3 linked regions of the Anolis sagrei genome follow. The protein of the gene in region 1 interacts with the protein of each later gene in a biochemical or structural test. Links are inferred from orthologs where the notes say so. Each region holds a gene or a part of one and is shown in the gene's direction. Other genes may lie near its edges.

Region 1 (7,925 bases):
GTAGCATAGGTATTACATTATTTTTCCGCATAATCACCATTCAGTTCAATACATTTTGTCATCCATGGGATGGGTTTTTGATGCCTGTGTTATAGAAGTTTCCCTCCACCTTTTTCGGCCAGTTCGTCACTTCGATTTTCACCTCCTCCTCATCAGAAAACACCCAGGTGTTCCTTCAATTTAGGTAATCACAGGGTACACGATCGGGGCTGTGAGAGGGGTGGCTTAAAACATCCCAGTGAAATAAGGTCAACAACTCTTGTATTGCATTAGCGATGCGGATGCATGTTGTCATGAAGGAGACAAGACTCCCACCGTCAGCATCCCATGATATTTGTTTTGGATGGCTCTACAAAATTTCTTCATGGTCTCACAATATAGCGGTGGTCAGGGGAGCTTTTCAACAATTAAAACTTGTGCGCCAGCTGCGCCCGTACCTTGGGAAGTCTGACGTGGCCACGGTGGTCCACGCTTTGGTTACATCCCGTTTAGATTACTGCAACGCTCTCTACGTGGGGTTGCCTATGAAGACTGCCTGGAAGCTCCAACTAGTCCAACGAGCGGCAGCCAGAATGCTAACACGAGCAGGATACAGGGAGCATACTACTCCTCTGTTGCGCCAGCTCCACTGGCTGCCAATTAGCTTCCGAGCACAATTCAAAGTGCTGGTGTTAACCTATAAAGCCCTAAACGACTCCGGCCCAGTTTACCTGTCCGAACGTATTCTCCCCTATGAACCATCTAGGTTGTTAAGATAGTCTGGAGGGGCCCTGCTCTCGGTCCCACCGGCCTCTCAGGCGTGTCTGGTGGGGACGAGGGACAGGGCCTTCTCGGTGGTGGCCCCATGACTCTGGAACTCTTTCCCACTGGAGATCAGAACTGCCCCCTCCATTCTGTCGTTCAGAAAACGGGTGAAAACCTGTCTATGGGGTTTGGCTTTCGACGAGTGAATCAATATTTCTGTGATCGGATAGATGACGATGAATGATGGACAACAAATTCACTATGACGACTGACCATTGTTATTATGTGATTGCATTTTGCTATTATAACGTTTTAATTGAATATGCCATATGATGTTTTTAATGATTGTTTTGTGATTTTATTGTTGGAAACCGAGTCCCCCGATAGAGGGGAGAAGACCGGTATACAAAATTGCTAAATAATAAAATAAATAAATAAATATACCGTACCCAATTGTCACATGCTGTCTTGACATGACATCCTCTCCATAAACTGAAATGATTTCGCAATGAATTGCAGTGGCATTCATGCATTTAGGTAGCATATTACAGCACAAGCTTCGCACTTGGAGGGAAACGGAATGAGGATGCTCATCTCTAACCTTCACCACAATGCCAGTCAATGAGCTACTGACGACTGGCACTGCTCGTTCACTCCCGCTTGCTTCCTGCTACACAGCAGTGATACCAACTTTCCCTGAGAAAATTCTCCATGAGAGCTACATGCTAAGTGCTAAGTGCCTGGATAAAAAGTTAAAGGGGAAAAACTTAGACAAAAGAGGGGATTGGATAAAGGTTGGAATGAAGAAGGAAATGGTTATGGAAGAATTTAGAGAAATAGAATTGACATGGTTCCATTGTATACAATTAGAACAATGGTTTAAAAATTGGGGAAAAAATAATAAAAACAGAAGTAAGCTTAACCAATTTGAACAAATAATACAAAATGGAAGGGTTGTAGAGAAGCATGAAAATTTGAAAGGAGTAACTAGTAAAGTATATAAGATAATTGAAATAAAGAAAGGAAAAACAAAAAATTACACCTGCAAGGAGGTTTGGGAAGAAGATTTAGGGATAAAAATAAATGAAACAGTGGCAACAATTATGGAGACAAAGACATCTAAAAATGTATCAATATGGGTTAAAGAAAATTATTATAAGCTAATATGGAAATGGTACCTAACACCAGTAAGAATAGCAAATATAAATAAAAACTATTCAAAAAATTGCTGGAGAGGATGTCAAGAATCAGGAACATATATACATATGTGGTGGCAATGTAAATATGTAAATAATGTTTGGGGGAAAGTATTTAGAGAAATAGAAGATATAATGAACATTAAAATAGAAAGAAGTCCTAGTATAGCTTTATTATCATTATATAATAATAAACAATTTAAAAAAGAGGATAAAGATGCGATAACGAATTTATTAACAATAGCAAGATTGCTTATAGCAAGGAATTGGAAAAGAGAAATAAATATACAAACAGAGGAGTGGTACAAGGAAGTATGGAAATTGGCAATAAATGCTAAGCTGACATGTATTTTAAAAGTTAAAAGGGGTATATGGAAACAAAGTGATTTTGATGGAGAAAATTTATTGAAAAGGATTGAAAAATAAAGAAGGAAAGTTACCTCCACAAGAAGAATTGAAATTTTGGACAGATGATATGTAAAAGCCGTGGCTTTGGGGGGGGGGGGGAGTACAGCGGTGAGGGTTAGAAAATACTTATAAGCAGAAAAATAATACGAGATGCCAAAAGTTAAAGCATGGTAGGTTGTATTGAATAATATTTATCTGCTGTAAAACAAACACTGTATAACAAATGTATTGAATCATGATAAAATAATAAAAATATAAAAAAGAGGAGCCATCTTCCATGATGTGATGAGTCAAAGCTTAGTATTTTCAAAACATAAGAATCCCATCTTAATACACTATGCATCCAGAAATATGGTGTGGTGTGGGTGAGTGTGTGTGTATAGTATATCCCAATACGATAAGGTCCTAAGAGAGCCTTTGGAAAGGACTGTATAAGGGTTACTTACTTACTTACTTAGGCGATCCCTCGTAGTCCGAGGATGATGGTCCTCCAAGTTCGGTGTCCTGGCGGTGGGTCCGTAGGTGACTGTGGAGCCCTATTCTTGATCTGCATCTTCTTTCGCAGTGAGGGCATTGGTTTCCAGGTGGAAGGCGGTCTCAGTTGGGGTTAGCTTGACGCGCCTTCCTCTTGGCACATTTCTCTTTCACCCGCCATTCGTGCCTCTTCAAATTCTGCAGCACTGCTGGTCACAGCTGACCTCCAGCTGGAGCACTCAAAGGCCAGGGCTTCCCAGTTCTCAGTGTCTATGCCAGAGTTTTTGAGGTTGGCTTTGAGCCCATCTTTAAATCTCTTTTCCTGCCCACCAACATTCCGTTTTCTGTTCTTGAGTTCGGAGTAGAGCAACTGCTTTGGGATACGGTGGTTGGGCATCCGGACAATGTGGCCAGTCCAGCAGAGTTGATGGCGGAGGACCATCTCTTCAATGCTGGTGGTCTTTGCTTCTTCCAGCACACTGACATTTGTCCGCTTGTCTTCCCAAGATATTTGCAGGATTTTTTCGGAGACAGCGCTGATGGAATCGTTCCAGGAGTTGCATGTGATGTCTGTAGACAGTCCATGTTTCACAGGCATATAGCAGGGTTGGGAGGACAATAGCTTTATAAACAAGCACCTTGGTCTCCCTATGGATGTCCTGGTCCTCAAACACTCCCTGCTTCATTCGGAAAAATGCTGCACTCGCAGAGCTCAGGTGGTGGTGTATTTCAGTGTCGATGTTGACTTTGGTGGAGAGGTGGCTGCCAAGGTAGCGGAAATGGTCAACATTTTCTAGTGTTACCCCATGAAGCTGTATCTCTGGCATTGGAGAGGGGTTGGCTGGTGACAGCTGGAACAGCACTTTGGTTTTCTCGATGTTTAATGGCAGGCCGAGCTTCTCATATGCTTCTGTGAAGGTGTTTAGAGTGGTTTGTAGATCTTTTGAATGTGCACAGAGGATGTTGTCATCAGCATACTGGAGTTCTATAACAGATGTTGTAACCTTTGTTTTGGCTTTCAGTCTGCTGAGGTTAAACAGCCTGCCATCTGTCCGATAGATGATTTCCACTCTGGTGGGAAGCTTCCCATCAACAAGATGGGAAGCTTCCCACCTTCCATCTTCATCTCATAGCGATGAAGATGGAGAATAAAGTTGGGGTAATATAAGGGTAAAAAGCTGTTAACAGCATTGCAAGTGGTAGTTTCACTATGCTCTATGCTGCCAGTCTTTTACAACATTTTTCCCCTGCTGGAAGTTGCAAGCTTTCCTTTTTTTCTCTCTCCTGATCTGAGAACAGGCCATTGACCCCATTCCTGTGTGCTTTATGACCATTCACTGACTGCAGGGCTCCCTGTCGTGGTGCACCGGTGTGTCACGCCTTGTCATTTCACAAATCTTTGAAAGGCCTTGATTGTTCACTGGCTCTTACGGCTGGCACTCAACTAACTTTCCTCCTATTGTGTAATTTTATGTGTAAGACCTGATCTGTGCAAATCTGATTATCATATCTTCGGTTCATTGATTAATGGGGTGCAATGTGATCACCTGTTGGATCAAAATCCAGGAGAAATAGGGGAGACAGAAACAGGTGCATGCAGTTTTGCATAAAAGGAAGAGGTGTAGCCACTGTAGTATGTGTATTCTTCAGTAGAAGCCTCATAATACTTGGTCTGTTAGGTGTTTTTGGTCTCCCCACCCTTTCTTCATTATCAGCAAAGAGCAACTGTCTGAGTTAAACAAACAACTCACAGATAAATTGACTTCCAGGTTGCTGGTTCCAAGGCTAAATCTTTATGAGCTGTTTTGCCACTGGGCTGTCTTTCTTGGGCTGTAAATGGAGTGTGTCTGTGTACATACTCCTTGGCAGTGACCCCGGCCATATCCTGAAACCTGATTACACACCTGAAGCCTTGGTGCCTTGGTACAGGCTGGGTTAATGACTTTGTTTATACTGATAAGGACAATTGAGATAAATGTAGTCCCCTGGGTCTCCTGGCCCCGGCTGGCACCTTCATTGAGAAAACCTTTCTCCGGGCCACGTGAAGTCTCCGTTTCTCCCCAGCCAATTGGTTCAGGGTTGACTTGTTTTTCAATGAGCCGGTGGCTGCTTGTCAAAGGGAGGTCAAGGCTGCTAGTGGGGGTGGTTTCCAATCATCCCTTCAGGGGCCTTATAAGTGAAGCTGGGAAACGGCAGCTACAGAAAAGACGGGAGAAACTGTGGAGTGAGCAAAAGGTGTGGTAGGACCAAGACAGTTGCCAAGCCACCTGTATAGGGAAAGCGTTTGCTTTTCAGATAGCGGTTCCTTACGTTCTTCTCCAACCTGATCATGGAGTGCGAAAAGTGCCCGTGGCACCATGAAGAAAACCAGAACGCCATCCTCTACACCCTCCTGAGCCAGAACTTGAGCCCCAACAGGAGCAGCGCTGGCTTTTCCCAACAGAGCTGCATGTGCCACAAGCGCCGCACGGTCTGCCTCCGGACCCCTCAAGTGACCTGCCAGGCAGCCTCTGATGTCTTGGTGAAGACCATCACCTTTGTGAAGAACCTGCCGTCCTTCCAGCTACTGCCCTGGGATGACCAGCTCCTGCTGCTAGATAGCTGCTGGGCACCTCTCTTCCTTCTGGGGCTGGTCCAGGAGATGGTGACCTTTGAGGTGATGGAGACCCCTGCCCCCAGCATGCTGGAGAGGATCCTCCTCGATGGGCCCTGCAAGAGGCAAGAGCCGCAGAGGACACAGCCCACACTGGCCAGTGTGCAGCGGCTACAGTGCTGCTTGAACTCTTTCTATAGCCTGGACCTGAGCCCTAAAGAATATGCCTATCTGAAAGGCGCCATTCTTTTCAACCCTGGTAAGTCCTGCTTGAACCCATGTGCAGTAAGAAGGTCTGTGAGAAACGGGCCAGCTTTTCATAAAAAATAGGAGGGAAGAGGAAAGCCAGTATGGTGTAGAGCAGCATTTCTCAGACTTCCTAATGCCACGATCCCTGAGTACAGTTCCTCATGTTGTGGTGACCCCCAATCATATTATTATTTTTGTGTCAAGAGTGCCATGAGAAACTAAATTGTTTCTGATGTGAGAGAATTGACCATCTCAAGGACATTGCCCAGGGTACACACCAGGGTGTTTGATGTTTTACCATCCTTGTGGAAGGCTTCTCTCATGTCCCCGCATTGGGAGCTGGAGCTGACAGATGGAGTTTATCCGCACTCTCCCCAGATTCAAACCTCCAACCTGCCAGCAGAAGGGTTTAACCCACTGTGCTACCGAGGGCTCCATTATTTTAGTTGCTGCTTCATAACTGTGATTTTTGCTACTGTTATGAATCATAATGTAAATATCTCATATGCAGGATGTATTTTCGTTCACTGGAACAAATTTGGCACAAATCCCCAATACACCCAAATTTGAAAGTTTGGGGGGTCGATTTTGTTGTTTGGCAGTTATAGTTGCTGGGATTTATAGTTCACCTGCAATCAAAAGAGCATTCTGAACTCCATGAACTATGGCATTGAACTAAACTTGGCACACAGAACTCCCATGACCAACAGAAAATACTGAAAGGGTTTGGTGGGCATTGACCTTGAGTTTTGGAGTTGTAGTTCACCTACACCCAGAGAGCACTGTGGACTCAAACAATGATGGATCAGGACCAACCTTGGCACGAATATGCAATATGCCCAAATGGGAACACTGGTGGAGTATGTGGAAAATAGACTTCGACATTTGGGAGTTGTAGTTGCTGGGATTTATAGTTCACATACAATCAAAGAGCATTCTGAACTCCACCAACGATGGGATTGTCACACAGAACTGCCATGACCAACAGAAAGTACTGTGTTTTCTGATGGTCTTTGGTAACCCCTCATGAGCCCCCCAGGGGTACCAACCTTCATAAGGCTCACATTTATTTATCTTGCAATTTTGTTGATGAAAAATTATAGGACAGCTTTACTAGAGTAACAGCAAACCGTAACAGGTGTCACCCCTGCAGGATGAGATATTGATAAAGGTGTGCCGTTACAAGTGACCTGTAGAAAAAAGATACCAGGTGGTACATCAATGGCAATGTTGGTTGTAATTTCTGATATCCAGAGCATGAGCAATCATGTTCTGATTACAAGTCCCATAATATCTGGTTGGAGTTGTAAGCTAAAGTATTATTGCAGCCTCCCGTTAGGAAAGAGATTATGCCAGGTATGGGCAAACCCAGGTCTGGGGTCGGATGTGGCCCCTTGCGCTGTTTTCTTAGGTTGTGTCACTATCCTATCCTTCCTTCCTTCTCGCTTTCCTTCCTCCTTCTCTTCCTTACCTCCCTCTTTCTCCATCCCTTCAACCCTGTTGTCCTTCCTTCCTTTCCTTCCTCTCCCCCTTTCTCCTTCCTGTTGTCTGTCCTTCCTTCTCTCTTTCCCCCCTCCCCTCCCTCCATTCCCTCTTCCTTCCCTTCCTCCCTTTCTTTCTTCTCTTTTTCCTTCTTCCTTTCCCTATTGAGGATATTGAACTGGGAGAAGAGAAGGTAGAGAGGGAACATGAGAACCATGTTTCAAGATTTCAAAGGGTCTCCCATTGAAGAGGAGGGGAAAACTGACTTTCTGCTGCTCTAGAGACCAGGGCACAAGGGAGCAATGGTTTCAAATGGCAGGGAAAGAGATTTGACTGAAAAGCTGAGGAAGAACTTCCTGTGAGTAAGAGCTGTTAGAGAGTGGTGTAGGCTACCTAGGAGTGTGGTGGAGTCTCCTTCTCTGGAGGCTTTTCCGCAGAGTCTATCAGGAGTGCTTTGATTGTGCTTCCCTGCATGGCAAAGGGTTGGACTGGATGGCTCTTGGGGTTCTCTTCCAGCTCTAGGATTCTATATCAGGAGTAGGCAATAGGGGTCCCATGGATACACATTTTCTCTCCTGTCCACCATCTCATCCTGACCAAGGCCAACCCTTTTGGGATCCAAACATTTCCTGTTTTTCCTTCACTTTCTGCCTCTGAAAGAGAAGAGGAAGGGGAGGAAAGGGTAGGGAGGAGACTTGGGGGAGAACCCCCTTCCTCCCAGCTCGCCCACCCTGTTCCAGCCCAGACAGGAAAAAGCCTCCAGAGAAGGAGGCTCCACC
Region 2 (7,351 bases), on another chromosome or scaffold:
TATCCAAGAAAACCATATGCACAAGGTCCAAATATACAAATTTGAATGAAATAATTGATATTGATAGATGCAATAAATGGGATATGTATGTCCTTTAACAGTAAAACAAGTTGAACCATGTGCATTGGAAATGGCAGATGCAATCTGCAGGTTACAAAAGCTAAAGCCCAAAACCATGGTATATGACAATGGAATGTAATGCCTATGTGCTATATCACCTAATGATTTATATTGGTGGAAACACAGAACACCACTGGTATGATATCTTTATAGGATACATCTAATAGTATGGATAGGGATACTTATATTGCTGCCAATCATTTGGATCTTATGGCCTCTTAGACGAATGACAGGATTGACAAATCGATTATCTATATTTGAAAACAAGTTAACGTGTTTAGAAACACAATTATGAACTATGATGTTTGATTAATCATACAAGTTCAATATTAACCTAAACATATATACTCTACACTTAATCAAGTTTGATTATAAGTATAACCAACACTGAATTGCTTATCATGTATGGATCATGTATGTGATACGATAAATTAGCATTTATGTATCAAGGGGAGGAATATGTGAGGAATGAATGTTTGAATGCATGGAAAAGAGAAGAAACAGGCCTGAAGAAAAACCAACGTGGAGTTCTCACAAGGCATAATATGGGACGAACTTGGCAGTCGAAGCGAGGAGACAGTAAGGCATAACTGAACAACAATGGACAATGAGGTATGCGGCCGAGCATGTAAGGAGTGCAGGAGGTACCCCATAAGTCATGAGGCCTGAAATGCAAATGTCTTGAACTTTGGAGAGAACAAAGACATATTGTCCTTTAGTAAGAGGACAGAGCAACCTGACTGTTGAAATGAAGAAAAATGGATTTTGGCCTATAAATGCAGGGGACCCCTGACAATCTCCATGCTTCCTGAACTGCAGCAATGGAGCGTCCACGCTTCCTCAGAAAAGACTGATCATCTTCGCCGGAGGAGGCCTGTGTGTGCATGAGTATGAATGAATGTGTGTGTGCACGAGAGCTCTCCTTGATGTGATTCTGATATGATTCTATGACTTGGGCTGTAGCATCCTGATGCCATACCTGTGCCAAGAAGAAACTTGTGTGACTCTAAATACTACAGTTGCCGTTAGTACACATTTAGGACATTACCCCACCTGTGAGAAGATTGTTGCTTTTGTACAATCTATCTACTCCCCAACAGGTGAAAGTTGGTGGAATTGGCTAACCTCAGGGTTACCAGATTTCGGATGGCTAAAGGGATTGTTCCTGGGTATAGTCCTGTTGATTATTGTATTTTTTATAATTGTGATGTGTTTTCCCATCATCATGAAGATGTGTTATAAGTTTGTGCCTCTCCTCTGGCCTGCAGAAGACCAGAAGCTAAGAGGAGATAATGTATCTAGATGACACAAGATACCCAGGGTGGGTTAAGAACGCCCAGGGAGTACCCAGGGTGGGTTAACACGCAAAATGCTTATCTGTAACAATAATGTGTGTGTTTACGTAGTTTGTAGAAGGTTAGCAGTGAAAGACACTGGAGTGGCAAAATATGAGAAAAACATGTTTTTGAATGGTTGATCCGATAAGAGAGGTGTGTGCCCATGACACAGTGAAAAGACATGTATATAAGGAGACTGAAATATCCAAATATCAGAGACAGCCTTTTTGAAGACACTGGTTTGTCTTGGTTGTTTCTCCCTGTGTGGCCACACTTGAAATAAAGAGATTTCTGCTTTACCTCTGGAGACTAGACTCTCTTCATTTTGCTGCCCTCTGTGACGGACTCAGCAAGGACCCCAAGCAGGGGGTCCCCTACAACTGCAACCCAGCTTTTGCACTTTTTTTCACTGTGATTACAAGGCTCCTCAGCTCCTCCTCACTTTCGGCCATCAAAGTGGTACAGGGTGAGGCAGCATAACTTCCTTTTTTAAAATGCGCACCATTCAGTCGGTGGAAGCACTAGTGGAGCACTAGTGGAGCACTAGTGGTCTCGTTTGAGAGGCGGGAGTATAAAGTTTTGTCCTGACACAGTTCAGTCGCCATCATGCGTTGGAACAGTGAGGAGCGTGCTTTTGCCGTTAAGGCCTACTTTTCGAGCGGATTTGGAGTGGCCGGGCTGCTCTCCAGATTTGACCCCTTGTGATTTTTTTCTATGAGGTTTTTGAAATCCTGTGTTTATGTGAACTATCCAAGGACCCTACAAGATTTGAAGACCAACACCAGGAAGAAATTGCCAACGTAACGCCTGCTATGCTGGCAAGAGTCATGACAAATGCTAGAAATTGGTTTACTCAGTGTATGAAGAATGGAGAATGGGGGACGTCACCTACCTAATTTGATCTTCAAAACTACGTAAAACAAAACCTTAGGTATGCACCTACATTATAAAAAAAAAATCTGATTCATACAATGGGTTTTATTAAGTTTTTAAAAAAGGAAGTTATGCTGCCTCACCCTGTGCAAAGTCTGTCACTGCCTCCACGTTTTCTCATTCTATTTATTTATTATTTATTATTTATTATTTGAACTTATATGCCGTCACTCCCCTGGGGCTCAGAGCAGCTTACAAGAATGGCTAAAATCTAACAAAATTTATGTTGATAATGGACAAAATAACTGTATTGTTAAGAGGAGAAATGCTAGACAACTTCGTTAATGAATGGCAACCAATGATTCAACACCTTAATGTAAAGTTAAATTAAAAATGTATATAGAGGATCCTATAAGACTGTAGACAAGGAAGAAGTGGATGCAAAGTAAGAATCTATGATATCTTTTTATGTAATATTTAGATAGTAGACTGTGACCCCTTAATAGAAATATACTATGAGATAAAGGAATATAGAACATTAATAGATGGCGAGTATTGCACTGTATGCAACAAACATTTGCAAATGTATGTTTTCTTAAATAAAATTAAATAAAAATGGAAAAAAAATCTAACAAAATTTAAAAGCAATTTAAAACAATTTAAAAACAGCAATATCAAACATTAAAAGCCTGTCGAAATAGGTATGTCTTACATGCCCTGCGGAAAGCTGGTAAGTCCCACAAGGCACGGACTTCAGGTGGCAGAGTATTCCAGAGTGATGGTGCCACTGCTGTGAAGTCTCTGCGTCTGGTTGCTGTTAGATGCAAGGTCTTGACACTGGGGACTTCCAATAGATCTTGGTCCTCAGAACGGAGGGATCTCTGGAGTTGGTAGGGGGTGAGGCGGTCCCTCAGGTACATCGGCCCCAGACCATGCAAGGCCTTAAAAATGAATACCATCACTTTGAAAGTGATCTGGTGCTCAATTGGTAACCAATGCAGCTGTAGTAAGATTGGTGTTATGTGGCATCTCATCGGAATTCCCGCAAGAAGCCGAGCAGCAGCATTTTGTACCAACTTGAGCTTCCGGATCACCGGCAGAGGAAGGCCAATGTAGAGGCCGTTACAGTAGTCCAGTCTTGAGATGACCGTGGCCTGGATCACCGTAGCTAGGTCGTCCCTGGACAGGTAGGGGGCCAGCCGTCTAGCCTGCCGCAGATGAAAAAATGCAGTTCTGCTAACAGCAGAGACCTGGGCCCCCATCGTCAGCAGAGGTTCCAAAAGGACTCCCAGACTCTTTACCAATGATGATGGGCCAGTTATCAATCATTCTGGTTGCCAGAATCTTGGTTTTTTTTTAATGTTTAGCTGCAACCCAGTTTTTGCACTTCCTTCTTTCACCTTGATTACAAGGCTCCTCAGCTCTTCGCTTTCGACCATCAAAGTGGTATCATCTGCATATCTAAGGTTGTTTATGTTTCTACCAGCAATTTTTACCCCAGCCTTACATTCATCAAGCCCTGCACATCACATGATGTGTTCTGAATACAAGTTTAATAGGTTGGGTGAGATTAATTGTATTAGATAGATTTAATATTTTAATCTTTTTTCATTCTTTTGCATTTTATCAATTGTAGTTGTAATTGATCCATTTTGTAATGAATATTTTGTAAATAAAAGCACTCCTGGTTTCCATTTCCCTATGCAGAGACTTGGGGAAGGTTTATTTAAACAAGGAGCCCCAACAATCAATGTCAACACTTCAGAAGCCCAAAGAAGGGATCCTGACGTAAAACGAAAAGAGACGAATGCTGACATTTGCCTGGGCCGCTGGTCAAATATCGCGAGAGTTTGCTGAGACTCGAGTAAGCACCCGCCCCCAAAAGGCGGGCGAGAGAGCGCACTCTCCTCTGTCACTGCCTGCGTAATGACGTAGGACGCTGTGGGCGGGGCTACGCGGCCCGTGGGGCGTCCGTTACTCGGGCGGGCGGGCGGCATGGCGAAGACGGTGGCCTACTTCTACGACCCTGATGTAGGCAACTTCCACTACGGTGCGTGCGCGCGCGCGGAGGCAGAGTGACGTTGGGCCTTTGAGGAGCGGGGGGGCTCCTGGCCGGAAAAGGCCCCCCGTGGCTTCTTAGGAAGAGAAACCATTCTTCCAGGAGGAGGGGCGGGGGGCTTCAAGAGGCTTCAAGAGGGAAACTTGTGGAAAGATATTTTCCTTACCGAGGTTTACTGTGTGCCCTCCCCACTCCCTGGATGCTGCACTTGGGTACCAAGGCCCTGAGGCGGAAGGCCTTGCCCTGGGAATGCTGCTGAATGTACTGAATGCACTTTGAGACCACTTTTAGGGTCTTTTTACAAGGTCTTGGGCCTTCTCTGCCCAAACTATGACTCCCAGGATGCCATATAATAATATAATGTAGTATAATATATTGTATATACATATAATATTTATAACTAGCTGTCCCCTGCCACGCGTTGCTGTGGCCCACATGGGAGTTCTGTGTGGGAAGTTCAACCCAATTCTATCGTTGGTGGGTTTCAGAATGCTCCGTGATTGAAGGTGAACTGTAAATCCCAGCAACTACAACTCCCAAATTTCAAGATTCTATTTTCCCCAAACTCCACCAGTGTTCACATTTGAGCATATTGAGTGTTCGTGTAGAGCAGTGGTTCTTAACCTTCCTAATGCCGTGACCCCTTAATACAGTCCCTCATGTTGTGGTGACCCCCAACCACAATATTGTTTTTGTTGCTCCTTCATAACAGTCATTTTCCTACTGTTATAAATCATAATGTAAATATCAGATATGCAAGATGTATTTTCATTCACTGGACCAAACTGGGCACCCACATGTAAATGCTAGTGGGGTTGGGGGAGGATTGATTTTGTAATTTGGGAGTTGTAGTTGCTGGGATTTATAGTTCACCTATAACCAAAGAGCATTCTGAACTCCACAAATGATGGATTTGAACCTAATTTGCCACACAGAACTCCCATGACCAACAGAAAACACTGGAAGGGTTTGGTGGGTATTGACCTTGAGTTTGGGAGTTGTAGTTCACCTATATCCAGAGAGCACTGTGGACTCACGCAATGGTGGATCTGGACCAAACTTGGCACAAATACTCAATATGCACAAATGTGAACACTGGTGGAGCCTGGGGAAAATAGACCTTGACTTTTGGGAGTTGTAGTTGCTGGGATTTATAGTTCATTACAAACAAAGAATATTCTGAACTCCACCAACGATAAAATTGGCTCAAACTTCCTATATGGAATCCCCATGACCATCAGAAAATACTGTGTTTTCTGATGGTCTTTGGTGACCCCTCTGACACCCCTTCGCGACCCCCTCAGGGGTTCCGACCCCCAGGTTGAGAAACACTGGTGTAGAGTTTGGTCCTGATCCATCATTGTTTGAGTCCACAGTGATCTCTGGATGTAGGTGAACTACAACTACAACTCCAAAACCAAAGGACACTGCCCACCAAACGCTTCCAGTATCTTCTGTTGGTTATGGAACTGTGTGCCAAGTTTGGTTCAATTCCATCGTTGGTGGTGTTCAGAATGCTCTTTGATTGTAGGTAAACTATACATCCCAGCAACTTATATTGCAATATAATGGTATAGTGCAATATAGTAATATATGCTGATATTGTACTATGCTAATAATATAATGTATGAAAATATATATTGTAAGCCGCTCTGAGTCCCCTTCGGGTGACATATAAATGCCATAAATAAATAAATAAACTACAACTCCCAAATGACAACATCAATTTTTTGAGTGAAGGACATAAATTGGGTTGTTAGGTCTATCATGTCCAAATTTGGTGTCAATTTCCCCAGTGGTTTATGAGTTCTGTGAATACCACAAACGAACATTACATTTTTATTTATATAGATATTTCTAGCCGTCCCCTGCCACGCGTTGCTGTGGTCCAGTCTGGTGATCTGGAAAATAAAGTCATGAGAAAGTGTTGGTTTCTAATATATGTAATTTCTTTATGCTTGTGGGTAAACAGTATTTCGTGATGTTTCTTTGTCAGTGTTGATGTGGAGAGTGTCTGGTTTGCCTACTCTGAAATATGCAGCATATCATAGTCCATCTTTAGGGGTCCCTTTCAAATCTATGAAGCTATATCTCTCTCTGTGTGTGAATAATATCTATCTATATCTATGGCCGAATGGCTCTTTGTCTGAAGGGCTTTGATTAGATTTCTTGCCCTGGTGAAGAGAGTTGGACTGGATGGCCTTAAGTATATTCTGTTGGTCATGGGGGTTCTGTGTGGGAAGTTTGTCCCGATTCTGTCATTTGTGGGGTTCAGAATGCTCTTTTATTGTAAAAGGTAAAGGTAGTCCCCTGACGTTAAGTCCAGTCATGTCTGACTCTGGGGTGTAGTGCTCATCTCCATTTCTAAGCCGAAGAGCCAGCATTGTCCGTAGACACCTCCAAGGTCATGTGGCCGGCATGACTGCACAGAGCGCCGTTACCTTCCTGCTGGAGCGGTACCTATTGATCTACTCACATTTGCATGTTTTCGAACTGCTAGGTTGGCAGAAGCTAGGGCTGACAGCGGAAGCTCACGCCGCTCCCCGGAATCGAACCTGCGACCTTTTGATCAACAAGCTCAGCAGCTCAGTGCTTTAACCCACTGCGCCACCGGGGGCTTTTATTGTAGGTGAACTATAAATCCCAGTAACTACAACTCCCAAATTTCATGATTCTATGTTCCCCAAACTCCACCAGTGTTTACATTTGAGCATATTGAGTATTCGTGTAGAGTTTGGTCCAGATCCACCATTGTTTGAGTCCACAGTGATCTCTGGATGTAAGTGAACTACAACTGCAAAACCAAAGGACACTGCCCACCAAACGCTTCCAGTATTTTCTGTTGGTTATGGAACTGTGTGCCAAGTTTGGTTCAACTCCATCGGTGGTGTTCAGAATGCTCTTTGATTGTAGGTAAACTATAAATCCTAGCAAATGACAACATCAGTTTTTTGAGTGAAGG
Region 3 (7,664 bases), on another chromosome or scaffold:
TGTATGTATAAACCACGCTGAGTCCCTTCAGGGAGAGAGGGTGGTCTAGAAATAAATCATCATCATCATCATCATCATCATCATCATCAAAGCAGATAATCTGCCCAGAGTTAAATGATTAAAACAATTTAAAACCATGTACATTATTATTGGAGATAAATCAATGAGGCCCGAAGGCATTGATGAACAGTCAAGTTTTACTTGACACCTGAATGAAATCAGTCTTGGCACCAATCAGGACTTCAAGGGAAGGACATTCCATAGTCCTAAGCAGTGTCTTAGCCTTTCTTGTGCATATTTCTCCATTGTATTTTAGAGTGGTGGCCACTGTCTTCCATTTTAGTAAAAAAGCAAATATGCTCAAAGATTTACTCCAAACTTTAGAGCGAGAGGGTGTCAAAGGGGTCGCCAAAGACCACCACAAAACACAGTATTTTCTTTTCATCAAGGGGGTTCTGTGTGGGAAGTTTGGCCCAATTCCATTGTTGGTGGGGTTCAAGGGGCTCTTTGATTGTAGGTGAACTATAAATCCCACCTACTACAACTCTCAAATGTCAAGGTCTGTTTTCCCCAAACTCCACCAGTGTTCACATTTGGGCACATTGAGTCTTTGTACCAAGTTTGGTCCAGGTCCATCGTTGTTTGAGTCCACTATGTTCTCTGGATGTAGGTGAACTACAACTCCAAAACTCAAGGTCAATGCCCACCAAACCCAGTATTTTCTGTTGGTCATGGGAGTTCTGTGTGCCAAGTTTGGTTCAGTTCCATCGTTGGTGGAGTTCAGAATGCTCCTTGATTGCAAGTTAACTATAAATAATAACAATATAATAACTTTAATCTTATACCCCCCCCCCCCCCACCATCTCACCGAAGGGACTCGGGGTGGCTTACATACAGGACAGAAGGTCCCCAAAAAGTAAAAGCAAAATAGTCCATTAAAACAAAGACACAATAAAATACAAGCATAATAAAATATAACAAATCCCAGCAACTACCTCTCCCAAATGACAAAATCAATCTCCTCACCAACCCTACCAGTATTCAAATTTGGGCGTATCGGTTATTTGTGCCAAATTTGGTCCAATGAATGAAAATACATCCTGCATATCAGATATTTACATTATAATTCATAACAGTAGCAAAATTACAGTTATGAAGTAGCAATGAAAATAATTTTATGGTTGGGGGTCAGCACAACATGAGGAACTGTATTAAGGGGTCGCGGCATTAGGAAGGTTGAGAAACACTGCTTTAGAGGAATTCACTATTACGCTTGAACCCCATTCCTCAACTAGATTCAATGCCTTGAGATCTGCTTCAAAATTCAGACTAAAAGACTTGCAAACCCCTAACAAGGGAGCCAACACCAGCCATTGGATGTTTCAGAGAAGGTTTGCTGTGAATATAATCTATATTATTATAATAGTAATAACCTACAGTACCTGGTATTCTTTGGTGAGTTCCAAGAACTAACCGCATCTGCCCCTGATCAGACAGCACCTGGCATTTTTAAAGCAATATGCCTTAATTTCTTTTCAAGACAGCTTGTTTCGCCTTTCTTTACTTCCACTGCTGTAGCTCAGTGCTAAGGAATTGTGAGAAATGTTGTTTTACAAGGTGTTTAACCTTCTCTGCTAAAGAGCGCTGGTGCCTCATCAGTGTTGAGAAGGATCAGAGGACAAGTTGGCCGCACAAAGCATTGTTTGGGTTTTCCACCCCAGATGGGAACATATCTCACACCTGTTCTGCTGACACACTTATTCTGGGAATGCTGAAATGCCAGTAGGAATGTCCAGCCACGAATGATTGCCAGCTCTCCTTGTTTCAGCAAAAGGTTTCTATGGCACCTGCCTCCAGAACAGCCTTTCTTCACAGGTGACAGGGCTCGGCGAAGCTTGCCCCGCTGGCACGAATCAGCCAATTATAGCACTGTATTGTGTGGGGTTTTTTATATGGGTTATGTGGCCACATTTATACCCCTCACCCCAATCTACACTTTATTGTCCAGGTAACGGACTCATAAAAAAACCCTTGTGATTTTGCCTGCTCTTTTGCTTTGCCACTGAGTTCTCTTGCAAAATCAAACCAGAGGATAATTCTGATAAGATGACCACGGCATTCATTATTCTAGCTAGATGGAAATCTCTCTCAGATGCAACACTTCTGGGGATGATTGGCAGAGATGGAATTTTATGAGCCAGCTAAGCACAGTAGGCAGAATGTAATGGGCCTGCTGATTTCTACACTCTTGCAGAACAATTCTTATTGAGGCTGAACTAAAAGGAGGATTTGGCCAATGACAGACCTTCCCAAGAACGCAGAGCCATGATTGCATCCTCTCCCTTTCTTTTTAACATGTTACTTTGCATCAAGGGGAGGAGTTGGTCAAAGAGCAGTCATTTCTAATGTGTTTTAAAACTGTGAGCGATGAATCAAATTCTATCACTTAAATCCCATCTATGCTGACCATTTAATACGGTTTCAAAATAGTATTGAAGGAATATGTGCAGGTGATTAAATAGGAAATCCTGGAACCAGTTTGAGACACAAACAGTGCTGATAACACAAACTACAGAGCACTGGTTCACATTAAGGGCTTTCTTTCACATGCTTTTGTAGGAGTTTATTTCCTGGCTGCAGCAGTTTGAAGCCTGCTTCGAATTGCATGAAATAGTCAGTGTAGATGGGGCCTTGCTTTCAATAGCCCCAAGCAGCAGATTCCCTTCTGACCCCAGAGCAGGTTCTTTACCATACAGACTGCATTCCTAGGATAGCTGTGAGTTTTCTGGGCTGTATGGCCATGTTCCAGAAACATTCTCTCTTGACATTTCGCATTCATCTATGGCAGACATTCTCAGAGGTTGAGAGATCTGTTGGAAACTAAGTAAGTGTGGTTTATATGTCCAGGGTGTCTGCTTGAGGCTACTGTGAATGTTGCAAATGGCCACCTTGATTAGCATTTAATAGCATTGTAGCTTCAAAGCTGGTTGATGCCTGGGGGGAATCCTTTGTTGGGCAGTGTTAGCCAGCCCTGATTGATTCTTGTCTGGAATTTCCCTGCTTTTTGTGTTGATCTTTATTTACTGTCCTGATTTGAGAGTTTTTAATACTGGTTGCCAAGTTTTGTTCATTTTCATGGTTTTCTCCTTTCCATTGAAATTGTCCACATGCTTGTGAATTTCAATGGCTTCTCTGTGTAGCCTGACATGGTGGTTGTTAGGGCGGTCCAGCATTTTATGTTCTCAAATATTATGCTGTGTCCAGGTTGGTTCATCAGGTACTCTGCTATGGCTGAATTATCTGGTCGAATTAGTCTGCAGTGCCTTTCATGTTCCTTGATTTGTGTTTGAGCACTGGATCCCCCCAGGCAGCAACCAGCCAGGTTTTGAAGCTGCAGGGCCATTTAAAGCTAATCAAGGTGGCCAATTGCACCATTCACACCTAGAATCATAGAATCATAAGAGTTGGAAGAGACCTCATGGGCCATCCAGTCCAATCCCCTGCCAAGAAGCAGGAATATTGCATTCAAAGCACCCCTGACAGATGGCCATCCAGCCCCTGTTTAAAAGCTTCCAAAGAAGGAGCCTCCACCACACTCCGGGGCAGAGAGTTCCACTGCTGAACAGCTCTCACAGTCAGGAAGTTCTTCTTAATGTTCAGGTGGAACCTCCTTTCTTGTAGTTTGAAGCCATTGTTCCTGCCTCCACAGACAAGAGCTCTTTCTCCCACAGCTATATAAACCCCACTTGCCTAGTTTCCAACAGACCTCACAACCTCTCAGGATGTCTGCTATAGATGCAGGTGAAATGTCAGCAGAGAATGCTTCTGGAACATGGCCATACAGCCCGGAAAACTCACAGCAACCCAATGATTCTGGCCATGAAAGTCTTCGACAACACATTTCTAGAATAGCTTTCAATGCTGCTTCTCCATCTGGGTGTATGCTTAGCAAACAAGCTCTTGGTGCCAGGACTTCATCAAGGGATACTTGAAAGTTGAAAGGGCAGCTGATTGGCACAAATGGGTTGCTTTTGGCAGTCCGCCCTCCTTCCTGCCCCAAAGGGACAGATGAAAAAAGAGGGGCCATAATGTAGTTTGGCCCCACTTTCATTGCCTGGCTCAATAATCGTGGGAACAGCGACGTTTTAGACTACTCTGCCCAAGAGTGCTTTGTCCCTCACCAAACTACAACTCCCAGGATTCCATAGCTCTGAGCCGTGGCAACTAAAGTGGTGCCAAACCGTATTAATTCTGCAGCGAAGACCTTCCGCTCTATTCTGCGCGCACAAGGCAGGGACAGCCTCGAGCACTGCTCGCTTCCTTCCCGCGCATGCGCGTACGCACGACATTCCCCCTCCGCCTCTCGCTTAGCTTGTCTCCACAATTCTTGAAAACAAGAGCGCGCGACTGTAAGCTTTTGATGGACAGCTCTCTCTATCCAACCCGGCGCCGCGTTCGGCTTTAGAGGGGGCGGGGGAGCTTGCCGCGCAATTGGACCAATGGGAGCGCGCCTGCCTTTTCCGAAGAGGGAGGGGCGGGAGCTAAGGCAGTGGGCGGAGCCAGGAGGCGGGCCGGGAGTTTAGGAAGAGGAGGGCTCGCCTGTCATCAATGAAGTCATATTCATAATCGAGTTCCCCTCGCCGGAGCTGTACTCCGGGTGACTCAGAGAGGGAGGCATCCAGCACCGCACCGCACCGCTCTCCCCCGGAAAGGTACCGCTTGTTTACAACTTTCTCCTGCCACCCTGGATGTATTTATTTATTTCCTCTGTTGGGATGGAGGAGGGGAGCAGAGAGTTGGCTTTGGATTGTGCAACCCCTCCACCCCCCCCCCTTCTTTCCTCCCTCGGAGACTCTCTCTCGCTGTGGCTTCTCCTCCAGAAAAGAGGGCCTCATCTACACGGCCCTATAATGCGGCTTGAGACTCGGTTCAAACTGCAGGACGTGAGTCTGCACGCCGGCCCTGCAAGGCAGTCGCAAAACTGCATTACAGGGCAGTGTAGATGGGGCCAAAGTTTGATCCGGGTTGCCTGGAGGCTGCCAAAGAGGATCCACGCCGGATCGTGACCTTCCCTCCGAAGCAGGGGGCTGGCGGGGTGAGTCAGCTCGACCTGGCAAAGGGCTCTCGGCTGCTGCAAGAGGCAGGCAGGCAGGCAGCGGCCCCATCCTCTTCCTCCTCCTCCTCCTCCTCCTCCTCCTTTAGGGCTTTGGCTCCCAAAAGCAGCCAGAAATAGCTCTAGGAACAAGCTGCTAGGAAGAGGAGGAGGAGGAGGAGGAGGAAGGCTTCTTGCAACGCTGGCTGGCTGCCTTTCCTCTCTGGATTGGAGCGATGGGAGAGCGACAGTCTGTTTCCTTTCCCCTTTGGCGACCCTTTATTTTGGGGAAGGGGGTAATTGCAGGAAGGCTGAGACGAAGGTGGAAAGGTTTGCTCTTGTGGATGCCTCTTGGGAGCAAAAAAGAGTGCTGGAAGTTGGCTCTTGCCCCGAGCAAAGCGCCGGAGCCCATCTATTATTAAATTATTATATTATTGTTGCTGCTGCTGTTGTTATTTTGCCTGGGCTTTTGAGAGTTTGGAGAGCTAGCCCAAGGGGCAACAGCAGGGTTCTCCCGTTCCAGCAACAAGGAGGCCATGATCCGGATAATCTCCCAGTCTGTCACACATAAACACACACACACACTCACACTAGATCGCAGGACTTGCTTGCCCCCCTGGCCATATGTAGGCAGAGAGGCATCGCTCTAAAGATGTCGCTAGATCGGGCTGTGTGGCTTTGAAATCCCCTTTCCCTCCTGGCGAGGATAACTGGCCTCTTAGATAATGAGTAGGGAGAGATACATGGAGATAGATCTGTTGCTAGATTGTGTGTGTGTGTGTGTGTTTAGGTTGTGCGGGGTGTGGGAGGGGGGAGCCACATAGATCTGTTGATGTTGCTAGCTAAGAGGTACTTGGCTTGTTCAATAACTAGGGAGGGATAAACAGATCTGGATGCGTTGCTAAATCAGGCTGTGCTGATTTGAAATCCCTCCACAAACGTCCCCTTTCCTCGTGGAGAAGATAAATAAACAGTTGGCCTCTGAAATGAGTAAAGAGGGAGGCATAGAGCTAGGTCTGTTGTCGAAGGATTCATGGCCGCAATCACTGGGTTGCTGTGAGTTTTCCGGGCAGTATTGGCATGCTTTAGAAGCATTCTCTCCTGACGTATTGCCCACATCTATGGCAGGTATCCTCAGGGGTTGAAGGGTCTGTTGGAAACTAGGCAAGTGGGGTTTATATGTCTGTGGAAGGTCCAAAGTGGGAGAAAGAACACTTGTCTGCTTGAGTCCAGGCAGGGCCAGCTAATACCCTCCCAGGCAGGAAGCAGCCAGGCTTTGAAGCTGCAAGGCCATTCAATTCTCACCAAGCTGGTCAGCTGCAACATTCACTCTTGCTTCAAGCAGACAAGAGTTCTTTCTTGCACCTTGGACTTTCCACAGATATATAAACCTTACTTGCCTCGTTCCCAACAGACCTCACAACCTCTGAAGATGCCTGCCACAGATGCAGGCAAAACATCAGAAGAGAATGCTTCTGGAACATGGCAATGCAGCCCAGAAAACTCACAGCAACCCAGAGCTAGGTCTGTTGCCTGTGTTGGGTTGAAATCCACGCACAGGCAAATGTGTACTAGGCCTCTTCAGTGAGTAGGGAGAGATAAACAGATCTAAAGAGGTTGCTAGATCAGGCTATGTTCATTTGGAATCCCCAACAGATTCCCCCCTCCTTTTGCCAATGGAGAAAGTAAAGAAGTAGCTGACCTCTGACATAAGTAGGTAAACACAGTTTGGCAGATGGGGGGCATTGGTTTGAAGCATCCCTCCCCCCTCTCCCAGTGGCAAAGGCAAATGAGCTGTGTTGGCCTCTTTTAATAAGTAGGGAGGCATAAATTGAGCAAATGTGTTGCTAGATTGAGGGGGGGGGGCTTGGCCGTGGCTAAGGCGAAGAAGTAGTTAACTAGATCTCTAGAGAGAAAACCAGATATATTTCTAGTTCTGTGGAGGAGGAGTGCTGGGATGGCTTGAAATCCACCCTGATGAAGGCTAAGCTGCGCTTGGCCTATTCAATAACTAGGGAGAGATAAACAGATCTGGATGTGTTGCTAGATTAGGCTGTGCTGGTTTGAAATCCCGGAAGGTAAAGAAATACCCAGCCTATTCAGTCACTAGGGAGAGGAAAACTGATCGAGATTGGTAGGCGGGGAGCTGTGTGGCTTTGGAAATCCCCTCTCCTGTCAAGGTAAAGAAGTAGTTGGTCCTTGCAATAAACAGAGGGAGATCTAAACATGTTGACACATCAGACAGTGCTGGCCAAAAGTAAATAATAAGTCAGTAAAGAAATAGATTGCTAGACCTGGAAGGCTGCCTTGGTTTGAAATCCCCCTTCTCTCTAAAGGTTAAGAAGTTGTGTGCCTTTTCAATAAACAGGGAGAGAGAAATCGAGCTAAGAAGTGGGTTGCTGTGAGTTTCCCAGGTTGTATGGCCATGTTCCAGAATGTCCCTCCTGATGTTTCATCTGCATCTATGACAGGCATCCTCAGAGGTTGTGAGGTCTGTTGGAAACTAGGCAAGTGAGGTTTATATATCTGTGAAAGGTCAGGGGTGGGAGCAAGAACCGTTGTCTGCTGGAGG

The links. The genes of interacting proteins can lie anywhere in the genome.
Region 2: the proteins of NR0B2 (region 1) and HDAC3 form a complex in vitro, tested with the Homo sapiens proteins (2 studies listed by BioGRID). The link is inferred for Anolis sagrei from reciprocal best matches to the Homo sapiens genes NR0B2 and HDAC3.
Region 3: the proteins of NR0B2 (region 1) and SMARCA2 form a complex in vitro, tested with the Homo sapiens proteins (2 studies listed by BioGRID). The link is inferred for Anolis sagrei from reciprocal best matches to the Homo sapiens genes NR0B2 and SMARCA2.

What each region holds. Positions count from the first base shown.
Region 1 is NC_090034.1:72,711,765-72,719,689, forward strand, and holds the start of NR0B2 (nuclear receptor subfamily 0 group B member 2), read left to right. Parts: upstream 1-4,849; 5' UTR 4,850-5,151; coding exon 5,152-5,674; intron 5,675-7,925. UniProt on the Homo sapiens protein: Transcriptional regulator that acts as a negative regulator of receptor-dependent signaling pathways. Specifically inhibits transactivation of the nuclear receptor with which it interacts.
Region 2 is NC_090024.1:135,120,235-135,127,585, forward strand, and holds the start of HDAC3 (histone deacetylase 3), read left to right. Parts: upstream 1-4,252; 5' UTR 4,253-4,325; coding exon 4,326-4,380; intron 4,381-7,351. UniProt on the Homo sapiens protein: Histone deacetylase that catalyzes the deacetylation of lysine residues on the N-terminal part of the core histones (H2A, H2B, H3 and H4), and some other non-histone substrates.
Region 3 is NC_090022.1:220,641,715-220,649,378, reverse strand, and holds the start of SMARCA2 (probable global transcription activator SNF2L2), read left to right. Parts: upstream 1-4,565; 5' UTR 4,566-4,712; intron 4,713-7,664. UniProt on the Homo sapiens protein: ATPase involved in transcriptional activation and repression of select genes by chromatin remodeling (alteration of DNA-nucleosome topology).